Linked DNA regions of Pelodiscus sinensis. The protein of the gene in region 2 purifies or fractionates together with the protein of the main gene of each other region. This does not show direct contact. Links are inferred from orthologs where the notes say so. Each region holds a gene or a part of one and is shown on either strand. Other genes may lie near its edges.

What was found. Proteins that work in one complex are often made in the same cells at the same time.
Region 1: the proteins of PSMC2 (region 2) and PSMD9 fractionate together in Homo sapiens (co-fractionation; 4 studies listed by BioGRID and IntAct, with this or other methods). This does not show direct contact. The link is inferred for Pelodiscus sinensis from reciprocal best matches to the Homo sapiens genes PSMC2 and PSMD9.
Region 3: the proteins of PSMC2 (region 2) and RAD23A purify together in Homo sapiens (affinity purification with western blotting; 4 studies listed by BioGRID and IntAct, with this or other methods). This does not show direct contact. The link is inferred for Pelodiscus sinensis from reciprocal best matches to the Homo sapiens genes PSMC2 and RAD23A.

Annotation. Positions count from the first base shown.
Region 1 is NC_134725.1:33,301,579-33,308,425, reverse strand, and holds the start of PSMD9 (26S proteasome non-ATPase regulatory subunit 9), read right to left. Parts: upstream 3,011-6,847; 5' UTR 2,950-3,010; coding exon 2,842-2,949; intron 1,525-2,841; coding exon 1,422-1,524; intron 1-1,421. Other genes in the region: HPD (4-hydroxyphenylpyruvate dioxygenase), read left to right, coding at 6,565-6,567, 6,806-6,832. UniProt on the Homo sapiens protein: Acts as a chaperone during the assembly of the 26S proteasome, specifically of the base subcomplex of the PA700/19S regulatory complex (RC).
Region 2 is NC_134711.1:23,572,213-23,579,843, reverse strand, and holds the start of PSMC2 (26S proteasome regulatory subunit 7), read right to left. Parts: upstream 3,009-7,631; 5' UTR 2,873-3,008; coding exon 2,803-2,872; intron 1-2,802.
Region 3 is NC_134729.1:13,037,668-13,045,187, forward strand, and holds the start of RAD23A (UV excision repair protein RAD23 homolog A), read right to left. Parts: upstream 3,011-7,520; 5' UTR 2,943-3,010; coding exon 2,823-2,942; intron 1-2,822. Other genes in the region: CALR (calreticulin), read right to left, coding at 4,501-4,707, 5,459-5,551, 6,107-6,250, 7,172-7,285, 7,442-7,520. UniProt on the Homo sapiens protein: Multiubiquitin chain receptor involved in modulation of proteasomal degradation. Binds to 'Lys-48'-linked polyubiquitin chains in a length-dependent manner and with a lower affinity to 'Lys-63'-linked polyubiquitin chains.

The DNA of each region.
Region 1 (6,847 bases), on a different chromosome or scaffold from region 2:
TAGCCTCGCTGCTTCCCCAGTTCCTGCTCCGTGGCAGTCACACAGCCTGACCAGCCGGGCTGCATAGCAGGCCACTGCTTTGGAGGCTGGAGCTGCTCTGGGGGCAGCCAGCCCACATGGAGGAACATGACTGTTCCAGGGGCTGGAGCTGCTCCAAGGGCGGCTGGACATGGCAGAGCAGGGCTGCTAGGCCATGTGAGGGAGTGGGGCAGGCTGGAGCTGGACTGGAGTGCAACAGATGCGGTAAGGAGGGGGCTCATTCTAGGACGCAGTTTTCCTGCTTCGGTAGGGGGTGTGAGGAGCTGCCTTCCAGCCCGTCCAACACGTTCACCTGGGAGTCCCGTCCCTGCATCCTCCAGCCTGCCAGTCTCCGCCCTGTTGCACAGCCCTAGCCCTACAGCTTCAGCACTCCCTGCTCCACTTTCCTCCCTTTCTGCCTCGTGATGTCCCTGGCAGGCGGGCTAAAGACAGTGCTGAAGTCACGTCCCACCGCTAGCACCACCACCACGGGGCCCCCACTAGAGGGTGAGTGCTGCTCGGGCTGTAGCTCCGGGGCTGGGTGGCAGCGGCTCAGGGGAGAGGAAAATGCATGTGGGGGTCCTCTGACCCCAAAGCAGCATTAGCCCCAGGTGCAGGAAAAGCTGAAATACAGTCCAGGATAGGAGACCAAGCAGGGCACACGGTGGAGAGAGCCCCCCCGAGAGAGTGGCACAGCCCAGGACAGGAGGGTTAAATCTTGGTACACCACTTTGGAAAAGCTGCCGAACCCTGCTCTACATGCAACACTTATTTCTAAACAATGACTATTATAATACATTTGTCCACAAAATACAAAGCAATCACTAAATTTAAAAGGAACAACGTTGACTAGTTTAGATCCAACATTTATTTTCTAAAGAACACAGAAAAGTTTTACAATAATACAAAAATATTACTGTTTTTATTAATCATTAATAGGTGCATTAATAATGTTGCACACACATTTTAACAGATTCATTTTTATGACTGAGCCACTCTACTTGAACTTTTGTAGTACCTGACCAGAGGGAAAAGCTGCTTGGAAACAAAACTCAAACTGACCCATTTTTATTTTGCAATCTGGATGAAGTTAAAATATTAAATAGCACTAGGAGTGTATTACTATAAAGATGACTAATTATTTTTACTAATAAAGTGTTTTAATAATCTATTTTGTTATTATAAACTAAAGAAACTTACTGTTGTAAATATATAAATGTCCAATCAATAATTTTGCTTTATGTAAACAGTATTCAGTTTTATTTCTTTATGTTTACCAATGGGAAAAACAAAACGAACCAAACCAGATGTTTGTAAAAAAAAGAACCAAATTTCTGATAAGTGTGGTCTGTTTCATTTAGCTCAGCCCCTGACAAGATACTTTTGAGGACTGAATTGCTTACAGATAATGTTGTGCCTGGCTGTACGAACTTGGTATATATCGACATCTGCACGTGGAAACCCTTCAGCATCAACCAGCGGCTCGTTCATCCCGACTCCCTTTTGCTGCAGAATGGAAATACTTTCATGCGTCAAGTATTCTTGAGACAAGTTACATTTTGTTTCTCATTTTTAAAGGACAAAAATATGGCACCTGTGGTCTCAACAGCTTGTTTAGTAGGTTGAACTCATAGGTCAGAGTGGGTTAGTACAGCATATAGGTAAGAACCAGCTACCAGTACTGGCTCGTACACAACTGACATTATAGTGCTGCTGTGGCAGTGCTTTAACATCAGTGGCCCTGCTGAACCCTACACTAACAGGGCTGCCCACAGGGGAAGCAAAAGGAGCAGCTGCCCTGCTGATTTAAAAGGTCCTGGCTGTCACTACTGCAGTGGCCTCAACCTGGGAAGAGGGGAATGAAGGGGACCTTCTAATCACTTCCAGTGCTCTCAGCTGTTCCCATTGCCCTCTACATCACCACCCAAACCCTGGGGCTACTGGCTGATGTGGAAACAGAACCCACAAAGGGCTGACTGGGGGAGTCTCATCCCTCCAACCCCACCCTTCTGGGGACCCAGAGCTGCCCCCCGCCTTGCCAAGGAGGCAATTACTTTTGCACCAGAATGAACTAAATGAAGTCTGTAAGGACATTGCAGATCTGAGTTTGCACAGACCCCATCCCTGCCCTGAGGACTGCCCATCTGGATGCATTCCTTGACATTTCATCACAACATAATCTTGAACGCAACAATGATCTTTAATTCCTGGAGGCTCCACGACCATCCTGGGAGACCCCGCCATGAACTCTCCCCTCTCACTGAATGTGCACATATGCCACAGCCCAGCTTTGCACAGAGACCCCCTACAGTGAACCCTGTGCATGTGGGCTGTCAGGCTCTAACCTGAGAGACCAATACACACAAACAGGGCCGGATTAAGGCATGGGCTAGCCGGGCAGCTGCCCGGGATGCCAACCTATGTGGGGCGCCTGATGGCAGCTATAAGGGATGCGCAGCGCCCCTTATAGCTACCGTCAGGTACCGCACGCCCAGCTCCCAGCGGCCACCCTGCAGCGGTGCTGCGTTAACCCCTGCAGTGCCAAACAGCAGTGCCCTTCCCCCGTGGCCATGGGGCCTTGCACGGGCAGGCTTGGCCCGCATCAGGCAGCCTCGGGCTGCGCACCAGCAGTGATAGTCGGGCTGGGCCGGGCCAGGCATATGCATCCTGCCAGGGCCAGCTCCGCACGCCCTCCCCCACACGCTCGGCAGGGGCGGGGCCGCACAGGCACGCGCCCCAACACACTGGCACGGGGGCGCGCATCCCCCCCCCACACAGGGAGCGTCTCGGCCCCCAGCAGCGCCCCGCCCCCCGCGCACGCACCCCCTCCAGCACCGCGTAGCACGCTTTGATCTGGGCCTCGATCTCGTCCTTCCGGCGCATCAGCTCCTGCACGTCGCTCATGGTCACGGGCCCGGCCTCCTCCGCCATCGCCTCGACCCAGCCACCCCCGCCCGCGCGTCACGCGCCGCGCAGCAGGATGGGCGGGGGGGGGGGGCAGAGGAGGGGCGGAGCCATCGCCCCGCCTCCTCGCGCTGTGGGCGGGCCCGGCGCGCGTGGGCGGGGCCAGGGGGCAGCAGGGCCCGGCGCGCGTGGGCGGGGCCAGGGGGCAGCAGGGCCCGGCGCGCGTGGGCGGGGCCAGGGGGCAGCAGAGCCCGGCGCGCGTGGGCGGGGCCAGGGGGCAGCAGAGCCCGGCGCGCGTGGGCGGGGCCAGGGGGCAGCAGAGCCCGGCGCGCGTGGGCGGGGCCACGAGGCAGCAGGGCCCGGCGCGCGTGGGCGCGGCCAGGGGACAGCAGGGCCCGGCGCGCGTGGGCGGGGCCAGGGGGCAGCAGGGCCCGGCGCGCGTGGGCGGGGCCAGGGGGCAGCAGGGCCCGGAGAGCGGCTGCAATGCCAGTCAGGCGCGCACGGGTTAAAATGCACCGTGGGAGGGGGGAGGGGTCACTAACCAACCCCCCCTCCCCCCACGCCTGTACGTGGCGAGGGACACTGCGGCCTTGCAGGGGATTTGCAAGCACTTTAAGCGCGGGAGCGTCCCCCCGGTCACCGCCCCTCTCTGTATCATCCCGGCACCTGCCGCCCCGCGCCTTGGCCCCTTGGGAGCGGCTGCAGCATTTCAGCCTCTCGACCGGCGCCGCCAGACGCTGCATCCTCTTGGCCAGGGAGACTTCTAGTGGAAACGTCATTCAGGGCAGCCCGGGGGGGGGGGCTACTAGCGCTCATCGCGGGGTACAAAGTGGAGCGGCAAAGTCCTTCTCGAGCTCCCACGTGTCCGCCACGTTCCACTGAAGCCGCTTCCAGGCTGATCGTTCCGTCCCGGTTTTGTGTCCTGGGAATGGTCGCTGGCGGCTTTTGAAGAGTTCTGCAGTGCTGGCTTCCATGGACCATGTGGAGGGCTGGGACGGGGAGAGAGGGCTTATGAGTGGGTTTGTTTTTTTTAATCTTCTTCTTTGAAGTAGGAATCTACTTTGAAGTAGGAATAAGATCCTCCGGAAAAGGGCGCTTTTTTCTGGAGGATCGGGGCCAGTGTAGACGCTCTTTTCCGGCTTTTCTAAAAGCCGGAAAAAAGTGGTGGACATTTTTATTTAAATGCCGCGGGGGATATTTAAATCCCCCGTGGATTTCCCTATTACGATAGCTGAAATTAACATGCCCCTTCCGGAAAAGGGGCCAGTGTAGACGTAGCCTGGCTGTTCAGCACATCTACTTCTAGTTTTAGGCATGGTGGAAGTTCTTAGGTTATGTGTTTTTGTTTTGTCAAGGTTTTTATTTGCAAGAAATTTCATAATGAGGATGAATGGCACTTCAGATATACCCTTGTTGGGGTGAGCAGAGAATGCTTGCATTGATTTGCCTTTGAACTGGAAAGAAATGGGATTTTGCCCAATTATAATAAATACAATCAGAGAAAACAATGTTTTCTTGCTTGGCTGGACAGAAAACACTATACTAAAGAAGGATACTTAAACTCTGGCAGTCAGCTGGCTAAATCATAGTCTAACAGTGGTTTTCAGACTCTTTTTTTTCTCAAGACCCAGTTGAAGAAAGTTGTTGATGTCTGTGACCCCATATAATTTGACTGGTTTGTGGGTTCCAGGGTGGGGCTGAAGATGAGAGCTTTGAGGTGTAGGAGGGGGCTCTGGCTTGAGTGGGGGTCATTGCTAGGGCAGGAGGGGCTGACCTTGAATGGCTCTCAGAGGTGCAGCGGGAGTGCTAAGGCAGCTTCCTGCCTCCTGGCATTGCAGACTTTGCTGTATGCTCTCCCCTCCTCTCCAGGAGCTGGGCCTGTGGTGCAGTCTGCGCTGCAAGGTCAGGCAGGGAGCTAGCTGATCCCCCTGCAGCAATGAGACCCAGTGCTTGACATTCCATGGCCCAGTACTCAGTTGCAACCCATAGTTTGAAAACTAGTAGCCAAATAGGCCTCTCCTCCATCTCCCATTGGGCTGCTGGTGAGTGTGGTTTAAAGGAGAGTGGGGAATGGAAACAAAAAAAAGTTTTCTTGGGAGGGTGCCTGTTGCAGTCACCAGCTCTAGCGTGCGCTCAGAAAAAGCTGTGGAAGATCTTGGACAATCTTGGTCTTGAATTATTCCTGAGGACACAACAGTGTGTGAAAAGCTTGGACAATCTTGGTCTTGAATTATTCCTGAGGACACAACAGTGTGTGAAATGGTGGGAGGATCAGCAGACTTAACTAAACAGCACAGCAGTCAACTGGGTCTTTCCCTTACAAACAAATCAAACAAGCAGAAGTGAGAAAACAGAAAACTCCCTTGGGGTTCAGCTGAGTCCTCTGATCCCAGCCCTCTCCTTGCCAAAAGTATCTCTCCATGTCTCCCAAGCAAGCTCCACTGCTATTAACTGCCAAAGTTAACTGCCTGCAACAAATTATAACAGGCTTGTTTCTTTCCTGGCAGGGAAGAAGAAACCATACTATAACTGGATTTCCCAGATCCATGAGAGGCCTGATTTTCCTCTTAATTGCTGTCAATTAGACATAGTGGTGGAAGCCAAACAAGTACACTGCACAGCCATCAAATAATACATTTTGGTTAGTGCTTTCCTATTCTAGATTTGTAGCAGTAATCTAGATCTGAAAAGCACCCATTCCAATTGCCAATTCCCTGAGCAATGCCTAGACACCTTCAAGTAAATTTTTTGGTTTTAAATTCTCCCTGCAGCAAACATCTGTGAATGCTGGCACTGTCAGAGTTCTGCTTCAAAGATATGGGATGTGATGGTCCACAAGCTAAAATCAGTGAAATCTGGTGTTAATCCAGGCTATGTCTACATTGGCATGATCTTGCGCAACTATTTAACGCAAGACTTCTGTTAAAGTATTTGCGCAAGAGAGCGTCTACACTGGCATGTGCCTTTGCGCAAGAGATGTGCTTTTGTGCATGAGCATCCGTGCCAGTGTAGATGCTCTCTTGCGCAAGAAAGCTCCAATGGCCATTTTAGCCATCAGGCTTTCTTGTGCAAGAAATTCATGTTGCCTGTCTACACTGGCCTCTTGCGCAGGAACAGTTGCGCAAAAGGGCTTATTCCTGAGCGGGAGTGTCATAGTTCTTACGCAAGAAGCACTGACTTCACACATCAGAACGTCAGTGTTCTTGCGCAAGAACTCCCCGCCAGTGTAGACAGGCAGCATGTGTTTATGGAAAAGTGGCCACTTTGGTGAAAGATCATGCCAGTGTCGACACAGCCCAAAAGTACAGAGTTACTTTGGGTTAATACTACATTCTGATGAGAATCTGGTCTTTTTTTTAGACTTTCCTTAGATAATTTGATTCACAGATAAGCTGCAGCTAAAGTAACCTGGACCCTTGGCTCAGAATTTGTAAACAGTTTTTCTTTCTTTCAACATAAATATGAACTCCATGTTATCATTTCTGAGCCCATGGCAGAATGATTCAAACCAAGTAAATCATTTAGTTTACAAGATAGAAAGGGTGGAGTCAGGGAGGGGCTTTCTCTCTTCCCATTGCTATATTAAATACATAGAAAGACTCTGACTGTCTCTTGGGGCTACCACATTGTCAGGTTACAAAAATGGTGAGGTTGAGATTTTTTAAAATTTGCTGGCAACACATTATTGGGGGTAAATGAGCTAATCTCTCACTGTGTTTGTATAGGTTTGTCTTCAGTTATTCAGGGTACTGTTTGTGCTTTGAAAAGCTGGGCTATTTAATTTATCTGTTTAAAGCAGTTCAGAACACTTATTTTCTAAAAAGTGACCTGATGGACTAGTTTTCTGGTGATTAATGTACATTTTTTTAATTTATCTCTTTAGACAACTTACACAGACAAAGGAGAAAAGGTAAGAATACAATTG
Region 2 (7,631 bases):
AGAACAAATTAAATGCATCTCATTTTGCTTCTAAAAGATGCAAATGCACACATCCACAGGACCCCTTTGATACTGAGAGGGAGAGCTGGTGTTATTTTATTTTTAAACACTAAACTAGAATATCTGGTTTTATTGCACAGTACTCAAGAACAAGGAGGAGTTAGACAAGTTCTCCAGCTTGATCCCAGCAAGTAAGACTTGAGTAGAAGTACTGCATTGTTATCTATTGTGCACCAACATATCCAACATGAAAGCAGTTTACCCAAGGGCTTAACAAGCTTAACAAGGGCCTGGAGAAAAGGGAGTATAATAAACAAATGGATCAAGTTCTGCTTCTTGATTATCCCAACAATTGTCCAAAATCCAGAGGTCATTTGTTCTAACGCTAACCACTCATAGGTACTTAGACTGTATATAACTCAATACATACTTGCACACCAAGCAATTAATTAACAGGATAATGTTATATTTCAGTGACGGAAAGAACAAGACCCTATTTCAAAATCAAGATGCTCCTGTACTGAAGTTATCAACAAAGAGTAAGAGTCATTACATGAATCTAATAATTTGATTGTTAGAGAGCAGAACATGACACAAAGGTTTTGCAGATAAGATACAGGAGTCTCCCAAAAGTGAGAATCCCTCAATTTATTCAGTGCTTGATGGCAAAGTGCATGCTGCATGAGTGCAGCCACAGACATGTTAGCTAGATGATGCTCACATTTCTGAGCAATCGCATTGCAAGACTGGCTGATGTTTACTCAGATAGTGCTGTTTCCATCAGTAGATCTCCAAGTGCTTCACAACTTTTATCCTCCCAACACTTCTGGAAGGTAGGGAAATGTTATTACCTCTGTTTTAAGGAAAGGAATGGAGGCCCAGAAACATTAAGGCTATGTCTAGACTGCATCCCCCTCTGTCGACAGAGGGGTGCAAATCAAGCATGTCAAAATTGTTAATGAAGCAGGGATTTAAATATCCCGCATAAATATGGCCACCGCTTTTTTTCAAAACAGAGCTTTTTCAAAAAAATGGCAGTTTAGATGCAGATCTGTCAAAAATAAAACCTTTTTTGACAGATCCTATATTCCTCAAAAAATGAGATTTACAGGATCTGTCGAAAAAGGGTTTATTTTTGACAGATCCGCATCTAGACTTGCGCAGCCTTCCTGCTTCCCCCTCTTGCTGCTTCTGAGGCAGGGGGAGAAATGCAAAAAGTCAAGAAGATTAACTGATAAGCCTGGACTAGTTGACTACTCGTTTGCATCCCTACGTGAGACCCTACCTTCTCATGTCTACATAGCCAATTTTCAGCCCAAGCCTAGTGAATGCAAGGCCGCTAACCTGGGCCAGCCACTGTGTACTAGCAATGTTAAATTGCAGTTATCTGACTAATCGTGTAGTCGATACAATTGCATTGACTACACAGTTAGTTGATAAGGAGCACTCTGCAGAGCCACGGGGCTTGCTCCAGCAGTCAGCTCAAATCAGGACTGAACCATCAGACTCTTACTACATTTAAAATGCAGAGGTGCAGCATCCCAAAACAGCGAGCGGTCCCAGCACGTGCTGAGTCCAACAGTCCCTGTTTGCGGCAGCCATCCCAGGCTGCTGTGAACAGAAGCTGCTTCAGCATAGGGGCTGCTGCTAGAGCAGCCTCTGTCCGAGGGGGAGAAGAGGAGGCAGTGCCCCACTGGGACCCCCATGGGCAGGGGCTGCTGCTGAAGCAGCATCTGCCCATGGCAAGCCTTGGCCTGCCGAAGGCAGATAAAGGCAGCAGAGTTTAGAGGGGGAGGCAGCACATGGAGCGGGTGCTGGGGGAAAGCAGCTATTAAGCTGGATCCCCCCAGCACAGGCTCCTGTTTCCATGTATGTTAAATTGAGATTAATTAACTAACTGTATAGTCAATGGGATTTCCATTGACTATTCAATGAGTCTATAAGGGTGCCTTCACCTTTGAACTGTAGCAAAAGCCCTGCCAGGGAGCACAAGGCCAGTGGGAGACCCGCTCTGCATTCCCTGTGGCATCTGAGACTTTGAGATGTACAAGAGACCCAGTGGGGCTCTTGTATATTTCAAAAGGAAGCTCTTCAGGGAGCATGGAGCTAGCAGAGGAATCCCCCATTGGCCTCTGCCTCTATGGGGTTTCTGCTTTTGAAATATACAAGAACTCAGCTATGGCTCTTGTACATTTCAAAAGCAGAATCACCACAGTGGCGCAAGTGGAGATTGCTTCAGTCCCTGCTTACTGTTTCCTACTGTGCCTCTGCCTCCTCTGCTCTCTGTGGAGACGGTGCTGGGGAGGAACCAGCCAGCTCCCCCAGCACCGGCTTCTGCTCCCTCCCCTTTGCTGGCTCTCTCCGACAGAGGCAGCACGGGGGAGGGGCAACTAGTCGCTTACATCCCTGCCTGTACCCCCCGCCTCTCAGAGGCAAAAGGCGGGGGATGGGAGCGAGTAGTCAATACTCCAGTCAATACTCGCTAACACCCCTACTGGCCAGGGCGGCTGACAAGCCTCGGGAACCCGCACAGGAGCGTCGGGGAGGCCGGGCAGCTCCTGACCCAGCAGAACTGAGGTGAGACCCCGAGTCCTGGGCGCCTCACTAAGTGACGGACTCGCTCTGCGGCTCGGCTGCCTCCCCGACGGCGGAGACGCTCCGCCCAGCTCGCCGGGCCCGGCGCTCGGTGGGGCCAGAGACCAGCCCGGGAACGACTGCGGGCGTCGCCAGCGCAGCGGAGCCCGAGGGGAAGGACCCGCAGGGCAGGCCGAGGTCGCTGGATACAGGGCCCCGACCCCTCACCGCGGATGGGTTTGTCCTCCTTCTCCTCCTCCTTGGTTTTGCGCTGATCGGCGCCTAGATAGTCCGGCATCCCGGCGGCCGCACGGCTCCCTGCGAGCGTCTCCTCCCGCTCCCGAGGCACTGCGCAGGCGCCGCCCCGCCTCCGGATGCATTACACAGCGCCTCAGCCAGCTTCCGCTCCGGCGAGGCCGCCGCGCGCAGCGCCTGAAGGGACTCCTGAGCCGCAGCATGGGGCCCTTCCGCCTCGTACCGGAAGCAACCCCGCGAAAGGGGGAGGGGGAGGGGAGTGGGTAGCGTTCGACGCAGCCAAGCGGAAGACGCAAGTGGGTCTTGTTTCCCCGGCATCGCTTCTGGTAGGGCGGGGCGGTGCCCCGGGGCTTTCTTCCCCCTCCCGGGTCTCTCAGCTGTCTGCCCCCGCCCACTCTGCCTGCTACGCTGGCCCGGGCACCTCTCAGGGGAAGCAGGAGAGCCAGGCACCAGCATGGGGACCCTGCTGCGCAGCCCCTCGGGGACCCTGTCTGGCGCTTGGCTTAACAACCATGGTGAGCGGATTAAAAGAACACAGGGACTCTTCCTTCTGCTCCGAGCCAGGCGTGCAAGGGGCTTTGCTTTCCTCGCCTGCAGCGTTTGTTTTTAGTGGAAGCTGAGATTCTCCTGTAGGCAATTGACTCCCGAAGCTGGCTCTTTCTATGAAACACCAACTATTGTAAAAACGAGGAGTCGTCCTGTGGCACCATAAATACGAAGGCCGTGTCTACACTGTGCAAAAGCAACAGCTTTTGCACAAAAACATGCTGCCTGTCTACACTGGCGGGGAGTTCTTGCGCAAGAACACTGATGTTCTAATGTGTGAAATCAGGGCTTCTTGCGCCAGAACTCTGACGCTCCCGCTCAGGAATAAGCCCTTTTGTGCAACTTTCTTGCACAAGATGCCAGTGTAGACAGGCAACATGAATTTCTTGTGCAAGAAAGCACTGTGGTTAAAATGGTCATCAGAGCTTTCTTGCGTAAGAGAGCATCTACACTGGCATGGATGCTCTTGCAAAAGCACATGCCACTGTAGACACTCTCTTCTGGAAGAGTTTTTGCACAAGAACTCTTCCGCAAAAGAGTTCTTGCGCAAGAAGCTGCCAGTGTAGACTATCCTTTAGAGATTTATTTGAGCGCACGTGCATGCACATGAACGCGTGCATGCACACACACACACACACTCTCGAAGAAGAAGAAGAAGAAGAAGGGAGTTGCTTATCAAATGTAAGACCAATGTTAACCAGGCCAATTATGTGACAGTAGATATGGGAGTGATCCTGCCCATGCCCGACAGTGGCACAGAGGGAGAACAGAACTAGCTGGGGCCATGTTGCTCCACTTCTTCTGCCGCTACTAATGAATGTAAAAAGAATGGACCCTTGTAATGAGCACCATCTCCCCTCCCCCCCCATTTAGTTCCTTTGCTGGCTGACACCTTTCCCCTTCTGCCCACCACATTCAGGGGCATGTGACCCCTAGTGCCTCAAATCTCATGATACTATCTACATGTTTTGTTAGTCTTTAAGCTGCTGCTAGCTAGACTATTCATTGTTTAAGTTTTCCCCTGATGCTATATTATGGTTAACTTCAATTTTATTCAACTTCATATTGTGACAGCAGCAGATTAGTTTTTGTAGGGGTGGTAGGTTCTAACCACCCTTATTTCATGCCACAACACCAGTGCCCAGTTCCAGGCCAGACACTTTATCCATCTCATTATCCATCTTCTCTCCCCGTACCCCACCCAGGCTATGTTTACACTCACGGCTTCTTGCGTCAGAAGTATGCAAATGAGGCTAAGCGTGGAATATCGCTGAGCCTCATTTGCATACCTAATGAACCGCCATTTTTGCAGAAGAGGGTCTTGTGCCAGAAGAAGCTGTCTACACTGCCCCTTCTTCCACAAGAAAAACCCTCTTGCACAATGCCATTACACCAATTATTTTCAGGAATAACGGCATTAAACAAGAGGGTTTTTCTTGCGCAAGAAGGGGCAGTGTAAACAGCTCCTTCTGGAGCAAGAGCCTCTTCTGCAAAAATGGCAGTTCATTAGGTATGCACATGAGCTTGGCGATATTCCACGCTTAGCCTCATTTGCATATTTCTGACGCAAGAAGCCGCGAGTGTAGACATCGCCCCAGAGTCCACTTTCCTCACTTTGCTAAGATTTGCAAGTGGTTTATTTTTCTGTTGGTTCAGTTTCTAAAAGCAGCCTGTGATTGAACAAAATATTTCTATCAAATGTTAATTTTCAAAATTATTACTACTCTGAGAAAACATGGGCAGATAATTATATATTTTAAATATCATTATTTTGGGGCCAATCATTATTTTTGGTGATTCAACTTAAGATTTTTGACCTATTGAAGTTGGCAATACTATATAAACAAAGAAGACAACTTCTTGTGTCCCAAGCCATTCTGTATGAGCTATGCTGCTTCCCCACTGGACTCAATGAGAAGGCATTGCCTGGTTCTCCCAGCACCATTATTGGCTCTGTCCCCACTACTCCTAGGCTGTGTCTACATTGACGCAATTTTGTGCCAAAGCGGCCGCTTTTGCGCAAAAACATGCTGCCTGTCTACACTGGCGGGGAGTTCTTGCGCAAGAACACTGATGTTCTAATGTGTGAAATCAGTGTTTCTTGCGCAAGAACTATGATGTTCCCGCTCAGAAATAAGCCCTCTTGCACAACTGTTCTTGCGCAAGAGTCCAGTGTAGACAGGCAACATGAATTTCTTGCGCAAGAGAGCGTCTACACTGGCACAGATGCTCTAGCGCAAAAGCACATCTCTTGCACAAAGGCACATGCCAGTGTAGATGCTCTCTCTTGGAAATATTTTAACATAAGAACTCTTGCGTTAAAGAGTATTTGCGCAAAATCATGCCAATGTAGACGTAGCCCTAGGGAAAGTCTATGTCACTGTGTGCACATGCAGAATTCATGCTCCCACAGATTTCTTTGCTTCTCTATAGAAAAATGACTTCTGACTTGGAAGCACAGGGAAACTGCAAGAGCAGTCAGACCATCCCTCCCCACCAGCATGGGTGCATTATTTCAGGCACCTAAAACAGGCAGCAGAGGTAAATCACAATGAGATGGAGAGCAGAGATGACAATGCCATAGCCAGTGGCTTGTACTATGTGCCAGGTTCAACTGCTAGTCCCAGCCTGGCTGGCAAAGGACAGTACTTGTTCTTGCCCTGCAAGAAGTAGCTAGGGCCAGGTCAGACCTACCCCCAGAAACCTGCACTTGCTCCAGGAAACTCAGTGTGCACACACACCCCTGGTTTCTGCCCCCATTGCTCCTCAGCCATGGGGTGAGGGGTCAGTGTATGGGGAGCTGCTCTCCCATCTGCTCACCCCCACGCATTCCAACCAGCATATCACCTCATTAAGCCTCAAAATTCCATGGGGAGCTTGCATGAAGGGGTTCCAAAATTGTTCCACTGAAACCCCTTCATGCAAGCCTTCCACCACCACCGCCATGTCTCACACCTGCATGCAAACCACCCCTGCTGAGCTTGCCACTCAAACCCCCACCTCACGGAATCCTAACCAATGCACCCAGGCCCCCAACCTATTATGGCCCACTTTCCCACCTGGACCCCCTGCTAAGCAGGTGTGCTGGAACCATTTTTATAGTGGGGTGCTAATGGAAAGCAGAGGTGAAAATAAGAGGGTGCACAGCTCCAGCAGGAAGTTAGCCAGCTGGGACACTCATCTGCAGGAAGAAAAACAGCCACTCCCAGCCAGGCTTCCAGGGCTTCCTATAGACTGCAGTGATAAGCAGCAGGCAGGTGAAAGGGGCTGGCTGGAGAAGTGACTTCCTCCCCCCCCACACACACACACACACAATGATCCAGGACTGTCCCAGCCCTGGGCCCCGCCCCCTAAGGTGCCCTGTAGGCAGGGGTGGATATAGGGCAGGGCGAACGGGGCGGCCACCCCGGGCCCCGCGCTTCAGAAAGCCCCGCGCATGCGCCGTGGCAAAGGGTAGGCCCCACGGAATTATGTTGCCTGGGGCCCCGCAAAACGGTCATCTGCCCCTGCCTGTAGGGAAGGTTGGGAGCTTTAGACACAAGTACCCTGGACTCTGCTACTTTTCTTTCCCTTCCCCTTCCCCTGACTATCAGGGAGCAAGGGAAAAGTGCATGCATGCATTCCTTTCCCAGCTGCCTAGGGGAAGGGCAATTCATGCAAGCTGTGTACTCTCCCCTTGCTCCTTGATAGCTGAAGGGAAAGAAGAGCAGCAATGTCTGGGTATGCAGAGCTGCAGCCCCTCTGCCCTCCCAAAACAGCACTCTTTCCTTCTCCTACACACACCACAGCTCTCTGCCCTGACTCCTGCACCATCCCCCACATCTGCCCTGTTCTGAGCCCCCATTTCTCAGCCATTCCACCATGACTCCTGAATTCCTCCAACCCCAGCCCTGACTCCTGCATCCCCCACATCCTGCAACACCCTACCCCGGGGGAGGGGGAAATAATTTTAGAAGGGGGGCTGGGCCACCCTGGAAAGGGCAGGGCCAGGACACTTCCGAACTCCCCTGCCCACATACCCTGATGTGCCTGGGGGTGGAGGAGTGCGTGAAGTCTTTCCTCCTCTCCCCCAACTGCTAGCTGTTTTAAACAGCTGGCAGTTTCCTCTAGGCACCAGTGCCCTGATGACAGAGAATTTGTGCACTCCCCCTGTTCCCAGGCCAGTGATGGCCTCGGGGAACACGCAAAATATCTCACTACCTTCCCCCATCCTGCAAGGGGCATGCAGGACTCAGAGTGAACCATGGTTCTCTCTA
Region 3 (7,520 bases), on a different chromosome or scaffold from region 2:
CTGAAGCTGGCCTATTGACGTCACCCAATCCCTTTTTGCCTCTCGGCTCGCCCCACAAAAACAGGCGCACCAGGTTCAACTTGGTTTTTAACCGGTTTCACTCAGCTGTACGTGCCCTGCACCTCAGACAGCACGTTCCTTGTTGGCAGCTAGGGCCTCCTTATTGCCAGGGGCCAATCTGCATTAAGACAGACACCAAAAATCCTTCTAAATACGCTCTTCGTAATCTGGAAGGGTCTGCAGGCTCTCACAGAAATCGGGGTTGCACCGCATTGCACAGCTATGGAGAATTCCTACCCCAAAAAGCTCACAGGCCGAACAGAGAAAAACAAGGGAAGGGTTATTACATGCCACCCTCTCCCATTATACAGGGGAAACTGAGGCACAGAACAACGACCAGATGTACTCAGATCACACAGGCAGTTTGTAGCAGAGCTGAAAACTCAACACAGACCCTCTTAACCCGAGTTCAGCCCCTCAGCCGCATTAAACATCCGGCAGCTATTCCTCCCCCTGCCCTCCTGGTCTCACCAGAGACCGTTTACAGCTGTACATGGGAAGGGAGCTGTCCAGCAATCAGTTTCTGCCTTAAAGCCACAAAACCATTTGAAATCCCTTTGACCCCCAAAAGAAGTTTCTCAGCTGCAAAAGGAACTAGGAAGATTTCAAAGGGCAGGACAAGAGGGTTCCTGGAAAGAGTCGGCTTGCTGGGGTTTATTGCTACGTGCATCACACCCATCCGTAAGTTCCGTACCCCCGCGAGCCCCTTCAAATCAACTCTCTGGAAAGCACAAAGCAGAGCAGGCCTGAGTGCAGGTCTCCACCCCCTGCGGAAGCCAAGGCCTGTTCTCAATCTCAGCTCAGCCTGTGACACCAGCTGTCTGTCTGGAGGGAGAAGAATCTCCCCGCCACCACCCTCTACTCCAGGAGTTTTCCAACTTTTTTTTTTCATGACCCAGTTGAAGAAATGTGTTGGTGCACCCCAACTTCACTTGACTAAAGTGTGGGTTCCGGGATGGGGTTGAGTCAAAGCTGGGGGGGAGGGAGGAGGAATTTACCTCAAGTGACTCTTGGCCAGCGGTGCAGTGGGGAAGCACTAGAGTCTCGTGGCTGCAGGGAGATCAGTGGGCAGGCTAAACCACCTCCCTGCCTCTCTTGCCACTGCAGATCATGCTGTGCCCCAGAAGCAGGTTCCTAGCCAATGGGAGTGCGGAGCTAGTGCTTGGGGCTGGAGCAGGCACAAAGCCCTGTGTGCTCCCCTCCCACCATTACCAAGGAGCCAAGCCTGCTTCGGCCGCTTCAGGGGCACAGCGCAGTCTGCAGTGCCAGGACAGGTGACAAGCTACCTTAGCCCCCCGCCCCCATGCAGCCACAAGACCCCAGTGCCTGGCATTCCGCAACCCAGTGCTGGGTCGTGACCCGGTTTGAAAACCACTGCTCTACTCACTCCATCCCACCCTGGTACTAGAGCTTGGAACAGCCGCGCAGCCCCATCCATCAGCACTTCCCAAGTCATTCAAACCGAGCGCTGCTGAGGTGCGCACAAAGCGCCCAGTCACCCCATATGCAAACACCAGCATGGGGACTTTCCATCTTCCCCACCCCGGGACCAGAAGTCTCAACAGAAAAACACAGGGATCGTCTTTCCACAGAGCCAAAGAAAAGGAGTTTGCAGCCATGCCAGACACGCTGCCCACAAGCAAAGCTCCCATGAAAGCCAAACGACATCTCCGGCACAGAGACAAGAATGTGACGCTCCTGTTACTGGTGCTACCTGGTCAGCTCTGTGTCCCCTGCCACCTTGGAGCAGGATGTGGAGCAGAGTGTGTTAATAAATCCTAGCTCTCATAAGGCTCTGGTCATCTATCGGTCTCCAAGGGCTTCACAAACGAGGTGAGTACCATTCTCCCGGGTGCTACACATGGGGAAATTAAGGCCGGGGAAGCAGAAATGACTTTGGTCAGGTCGCCCTCCCTCACAAACCAGTGGCAGAGCCAGAAACTGATCCCAGCTTTCCTGAGTGCAAGCCCAGCACTCTAGTCACTAGGCCATGTTAGCCCCAAGAGTTAGCAGCTCGGCCCCCTCGATGCACTTCAGTCATCTTGGAGGTCAGTCACGTGAATGCGGATTATGAGACTATTAAGGTCTCATCTCGAACATCCCATGGGAGTTGACGGCCCTGCAGCAGCTTCAGAGGAATCGACAGCCTGCCGCGGGTCGGGGACAGGCGAGGGGGCAGCAGCAGCCGCTGTGCTGTGCAACCCCATTGGGCGTGAGAAGCGGGAGGCCGGGGAGCCCCCCACCGGCAGGGCAGGGGACCAAAGCAAGACGGAGACTGGCTCCCCCCCACGTCCACGCGGCAGGCCCCCAGCAACGCAGCCCTGGCGCATAGGAGCGAGCAGGGGCCTGCGGGGTCCCACGTGGGCCAGAGCCCCAGGATGGGGGGGGGACCGGGGTAGCTCGGCTGCCCCCCAAGCCAGGGCCCCGCGTCACATCCCCCGGCAGGGGCCGGCCCACGAGCACGGCCCAAGGGGGGGGGGGCTGCCCCCCACAGCAGAGAGAAGCCGGGACCGTTCCACTCAGGACCGGGCGGGGCGGCCCCGGGCGGGGGGGCTGCCCTACCTGCGGGGGGGCGGGGCGGCCCCGGGCGGGGGGGCTGCCCTACCTGCGGGGGGGCGGGGCGGCCCCGGGCGGGGGGGCTGCCCTACCTGCGGGGAGGCGGGGCGGGGCGGCCCCGGGCGGGGGGGCTGCCCTACCTGCGGGGGGGCGGGGCGGGGCTGCCCCGGGCGGGGGGGCTGCCCCCCCCCCACGCGGGCCCTCACCGTCTCCTCGGGCTCCATGCGGATCTTGAAGGTTTGCTGCTGCAGCGTCTTGAGCGTGATGGTCACCGCCATGGCGCGCGCCGGGCGCTTCGTGCCAGCGGACTCGCAGCCCCGCAACATGCAACTCACGCCGCCGCCATCTTAGCGCCCCGCCGCTTCCGGCCCCGGCCGGGGCAAGCCCGCCACGTGACCGGGGCACGCGCGTGGCCTCCCTCACGTGACGGGGCGGGCGTCGCGACCACGTGACACGGTACCCGCGACGCCTCACATGACGGGGGCTCAGCCAACCGCGTGACAGCAACACGGGGCTCACGTGATAAGGGAACACAAAATGGACGCCCGAGCGGGCTAACATGGCTGAGCGGGGAGCCCCGCCCCAGCTCAAACCTGCCGCGCAGCTCCCGCCCCCGCTGGCCAGAGGCCCCTGCTAGACCGCCCCCCCCCCCGACCAATAGCAAGCTCCCACGACGGGGGGGGGGGGGGCCCTGCTGCTGCGTGAGCTACAGCCCCGCCCCCCCGGAGATTGCCGCCGCTCGGTGACTGGCTGGAGGTCCCAGCTGGAGCCCTTGGACTCGGCCTTAGCGCTGGCCCCCTCCAGCTGAGCTTGCCCCCTAGCCCCCGCCCAGCAGAGAGCCCAGGGAAACCAGGTCACAGGCCAGACACAGGATTTAATTTAATAGAAATCTTCAATCATTCATACATTCAAGTGAACATGAGAAGCCTCCCAGCCCCCACCTCGTCCCTTCATTCCCCTCCCCCACCCAATATATTTATTTCGTAGTAAGATTTGGACTCCGAACTCTACTCCCTTACCCACTGTAAGTGCCCTCCCCCCCAGCAACCTCCCTCACCCAGACAACAGTCTCCTCACTCTTACCAGTGCCATTTCCCCACCGCTGTGCCAATAGCTCTATGCAATTTCTAGGGGGATTGTGGAGGGTAGCAGGGCTGTTTGCTTCAGCATCCCAAAAGAAGGGGAGGGGAGAAATTGCTTAGAGTTACTATCACCTGCATTTGAACTGGCTTTGGCACCAGCTGTGGCTGCAAGAGAGGCCAGGACAGATGCTGCAGTTATAAAAAAAGTGCAGCAGTGAGCTAGGGGGAATGGATTGAGCCACTCACTTTGAGCAAGAGCTCTCCCCACAGCTACAGTTCCCTAGAACAGACTGCTGAAAAGAGACATAATACTGCAGTCTTGCAGACTCCCACCCCCGTGCTTGAGAACAGAGGAAAAGACAATCAACCTCCCCACCCATTCAGGGAGACTAAACTTTGAGGGACAGGGCAGGTAAGGGACTGGCGAAGGGGAAGGAGAGATACTCTGCCTCCTATATGCCCCTTTGCAGAGCACCTGAAGCCAGCCAGTAGAGAAGCTCGCCACCAGTAGAAGTATTCCATGCTGCCATTCTTGCCTGAACCAAGGGTTAAGTTTCTACTGTTAACTTTACCATACATTCATGCCCTGCAGGGCCTAGAGCTGTACTGACATGAATGGATTGTTGATGGCATTGGGGGCATGTGAAAAAAAAAAAACACAAACAGAAACACCAATAAAAAAGTTCAAGTCTCACAGAGACATTACTGTATCCCCTCCCCCCTCCTTATTTGGGTTTAACCAAGCAAGCCACACGGTCCAGGGTGAGGCTCAGCAGAGGAGTGGTGCTGTGGGAACCGCCTTCTACAGCTCATCCTTCACTGGTCCCTCCGTTTCCTCCTCTTCCTCCTTCTCAGGCTCGGGTTCGTCGTCATCATCATCATCCTCATCTTCATTATCTTCCCCTTCGGGCTCCTCGTCCCCTTCCTCCTCTTTCCGCTTCTTATCTTCCTCCTCTTGTTTCTTCCGCTGCTCTTCGTCCTGCTGCTCCTTCATTTTCTTTTCAGCATCCTGGTGAGATGGATGGCAACATAAGTTAGGCAAAAGGAAGAGGAAGCATAGGGCAAGTGGTTTAGGCACTAGTCTGGGACTCCCTGCTTTGCCAGATCCCCTGGGTAGCCTTCACCAAGTCACTTTGCCTCTGGGCCTCTGTTTCTCCCATCTGCACAAGGAGAATGGTGCTGTCCTCAGACTAGTTTGGGCCAAGTAATAAGGAGACACTGCAAGAACTCAGCGAGCTAGGAGACTGGACTCCAACCTCTCCGCAATTGCAGACCACGTTACACCTTCATGGCTTGGCTCAGACATTCACCTCACAGGTCAGGAATCCTGCTCCAGCTGTAGCCCCCCTCCTGACACCCTGTCTATTCAGAGAGGGTATGCAGCCATTACAGGATTTGTGTTTCAGGACATTTATGGAAGCTACTTGGCCTCCTCTCCCTGCCCCCCAATACCAGATTTCAGAGGTGGCTTATTACAGCTGCCCACCACCGAGTTAACACTGAAGAGTCAACAGTAAACCACTGGACTCAGCTAGTCCTGCTTAAGAGGTGCTTCACTGGGAACAGAGGACAGCCCCAGGGGGTGACTGTCACTGCACTGCCTGCCAGCCCGCCCAACTGGTGGGAGGAGGGGACCATGGGCAGGCTCTGGCTCAGAGCAGTGCTTCCCCAATGTTGGCCCAGAGGGAGGAGACAGGTGCTGGCAAGGGGAATCCCTTCTGGCAGGGAACAGAAGCGCCTTCCCCCAGGTTAGCCAGTACCTTGGTGGCCCCCCAGGTCTCATTGCCAAACTCCTCAGCGAACTTCTCGTCATCTGTGATCAGGAAGTTGTCGAAGATGGTGCCAGATTTCACCTGAAAAGCAGAGAACTAGTGACTGGCTGCTCCTGGCTGCACAGAGCCTCAGCGCAACCTCACCCAGCTTGCTCCAAGTATGGGGTGGGGAGGGTGTCATTCAGCAAGAAAGGGTGGAGTAAAAGTCCTGCCAGAAAAGAGCTTCATGCTTCTCAACCACAGTAGAGGCTGAATTCTCAAGGATTGGGCAAAGTACAAGCATGTGTTTCATAGAGCCCTGCAAATCCACCAAGTGCTGCAGGTGCGGATGCAGATACCAACTTTGTATCCGTACAGAGCTGTTTTCTGGTGAGGGAAGCATTCTGATGCAAGAAGCCAGCAGTCTGAGGGCAGGCTAAGCTGTCTGCCTGCAGCACAGCCAAGTACAAGGCCCAGGTCCCATCAGACTGGATACTCCAGTGCTTTACTGCAGCTGGTGCTCCAGGGACTCAGCCAGAAGCAGAGCCGAGTTAGGGGAATTTCCCCACAACCCCCAGTGCCAGGTGGCATCAGGCCGATGCCACTGCTAGGGCTTTCCAATTCTCACTCCGGCCAGCCCTCTGGGGAGGAGCGTACCTGCCATAGGTCCAAGCCGATGACACCAAAGTTGTCGTAGGAGTACAGGCTGGGGTCAGGGGTGTAGTCTGGATTGTCGATCTCAGGGTGCACCCATTTTCCCTTGTAATCAGGGTTGTCGATCTGGCGGGGTTTCCACTCCCCCTGGGAAGCCAAAGCATGTGAGAAATCAAGTGAGCCGGGAAAGGAATTTCACCTCATCTCCAACAAGGGAGATCTGGGGAGAGGCCAGAGACTGGGACAAGCAGCTCTGCCTGCAAGTTTTACAGCGCCAAGAGTGGGACAAGCTGTCTCCTTTATGCAATGCCCTACACTGAGGCTCACGGGCCCAGAGTTTCAGGCGAGCAGGAGCTCAAGGCCTCACTTACTGCTGGTTTCAGAGCCATCTGGACATCAACTGAGCCTGCCCCAGAGGATGCCCAGTCTAGCACCCTGGATTCTCCCCAGGCAGGGCCGGAGCCCTGAACCAAAGAGCATGGTGGATTCTCAGTCACTGGCAGGCTTTAACTCATGCCTGAAGCTCTCAGGAGCTCAGCTCTAGGAACTACTGCAGGGCAGTTCTGTAGCCTGTGTTAGGCCATCAGACTAAATGATCCAACAACCCCTCTGCCTAAATTGCCTCAAATTGTCAATCTGACCCTAAATTGCCACATGCCAAGTGAGAACCAAGGTACATTCCCAGGTTGCTCTTTGGAGCGCTTCACAGCCTCCCTTACCAGCTCTGCCAGCAGCTGGTCAGACTGGGAGAGTGTTGCTGCAATAGATGGAAGGGGCATTAAAGACTCCATCTCCTCCCCCCCTGCAGAGGGAGGAGGTGGCACCAGGAAAGGACTGCTCACTGGCACTGCACAGAGGCGTTGGGGGGGTTAGGACTGCAAGGGCAGGATGCGTTGATGAGGCTCATGTCAATCCAATGCAGTAAGGGGCGAGAGTCAGACCTCAGACCTCATCCACGGCTACATGGATGCACAGCACAGACTGCAGCAGAGCTGCACAGCCCATGGCTCCTCCACTCAGGAAGCCACAGCATTTGTGCAAGTTTACAGTGAGGGATCCCAGCCTCACCTTGTACTCTGGGTTCTGGATCACTGGAGGCTCCCACTCCCCATCCATCTCCTCATCCCAGTCCTCCGGCTTCTTGGCGTCAGGGTCGGGAATGTGCTCGGGCTTATCCCAATCCTGAGGGGGCAGAGGAAGAGATCTGCTGTCAACTCCTCCCTCTGGGGGGCACAAAGCCCTCCTCTCTCCCCTACAATCTGTCCCCACCAGCTGGCCACATGGAGCACCACAATGCCAGCCTGTGTCCAGCCCTATATCTGCAGCCCCCCAGCTCACCTCAGGCTTAGTGTCCTCAGGGTCATCTATCTTGGCCCTCTCATCCCAGTCCTCCGGCTTCTTGGCCTCAGGATCCTTG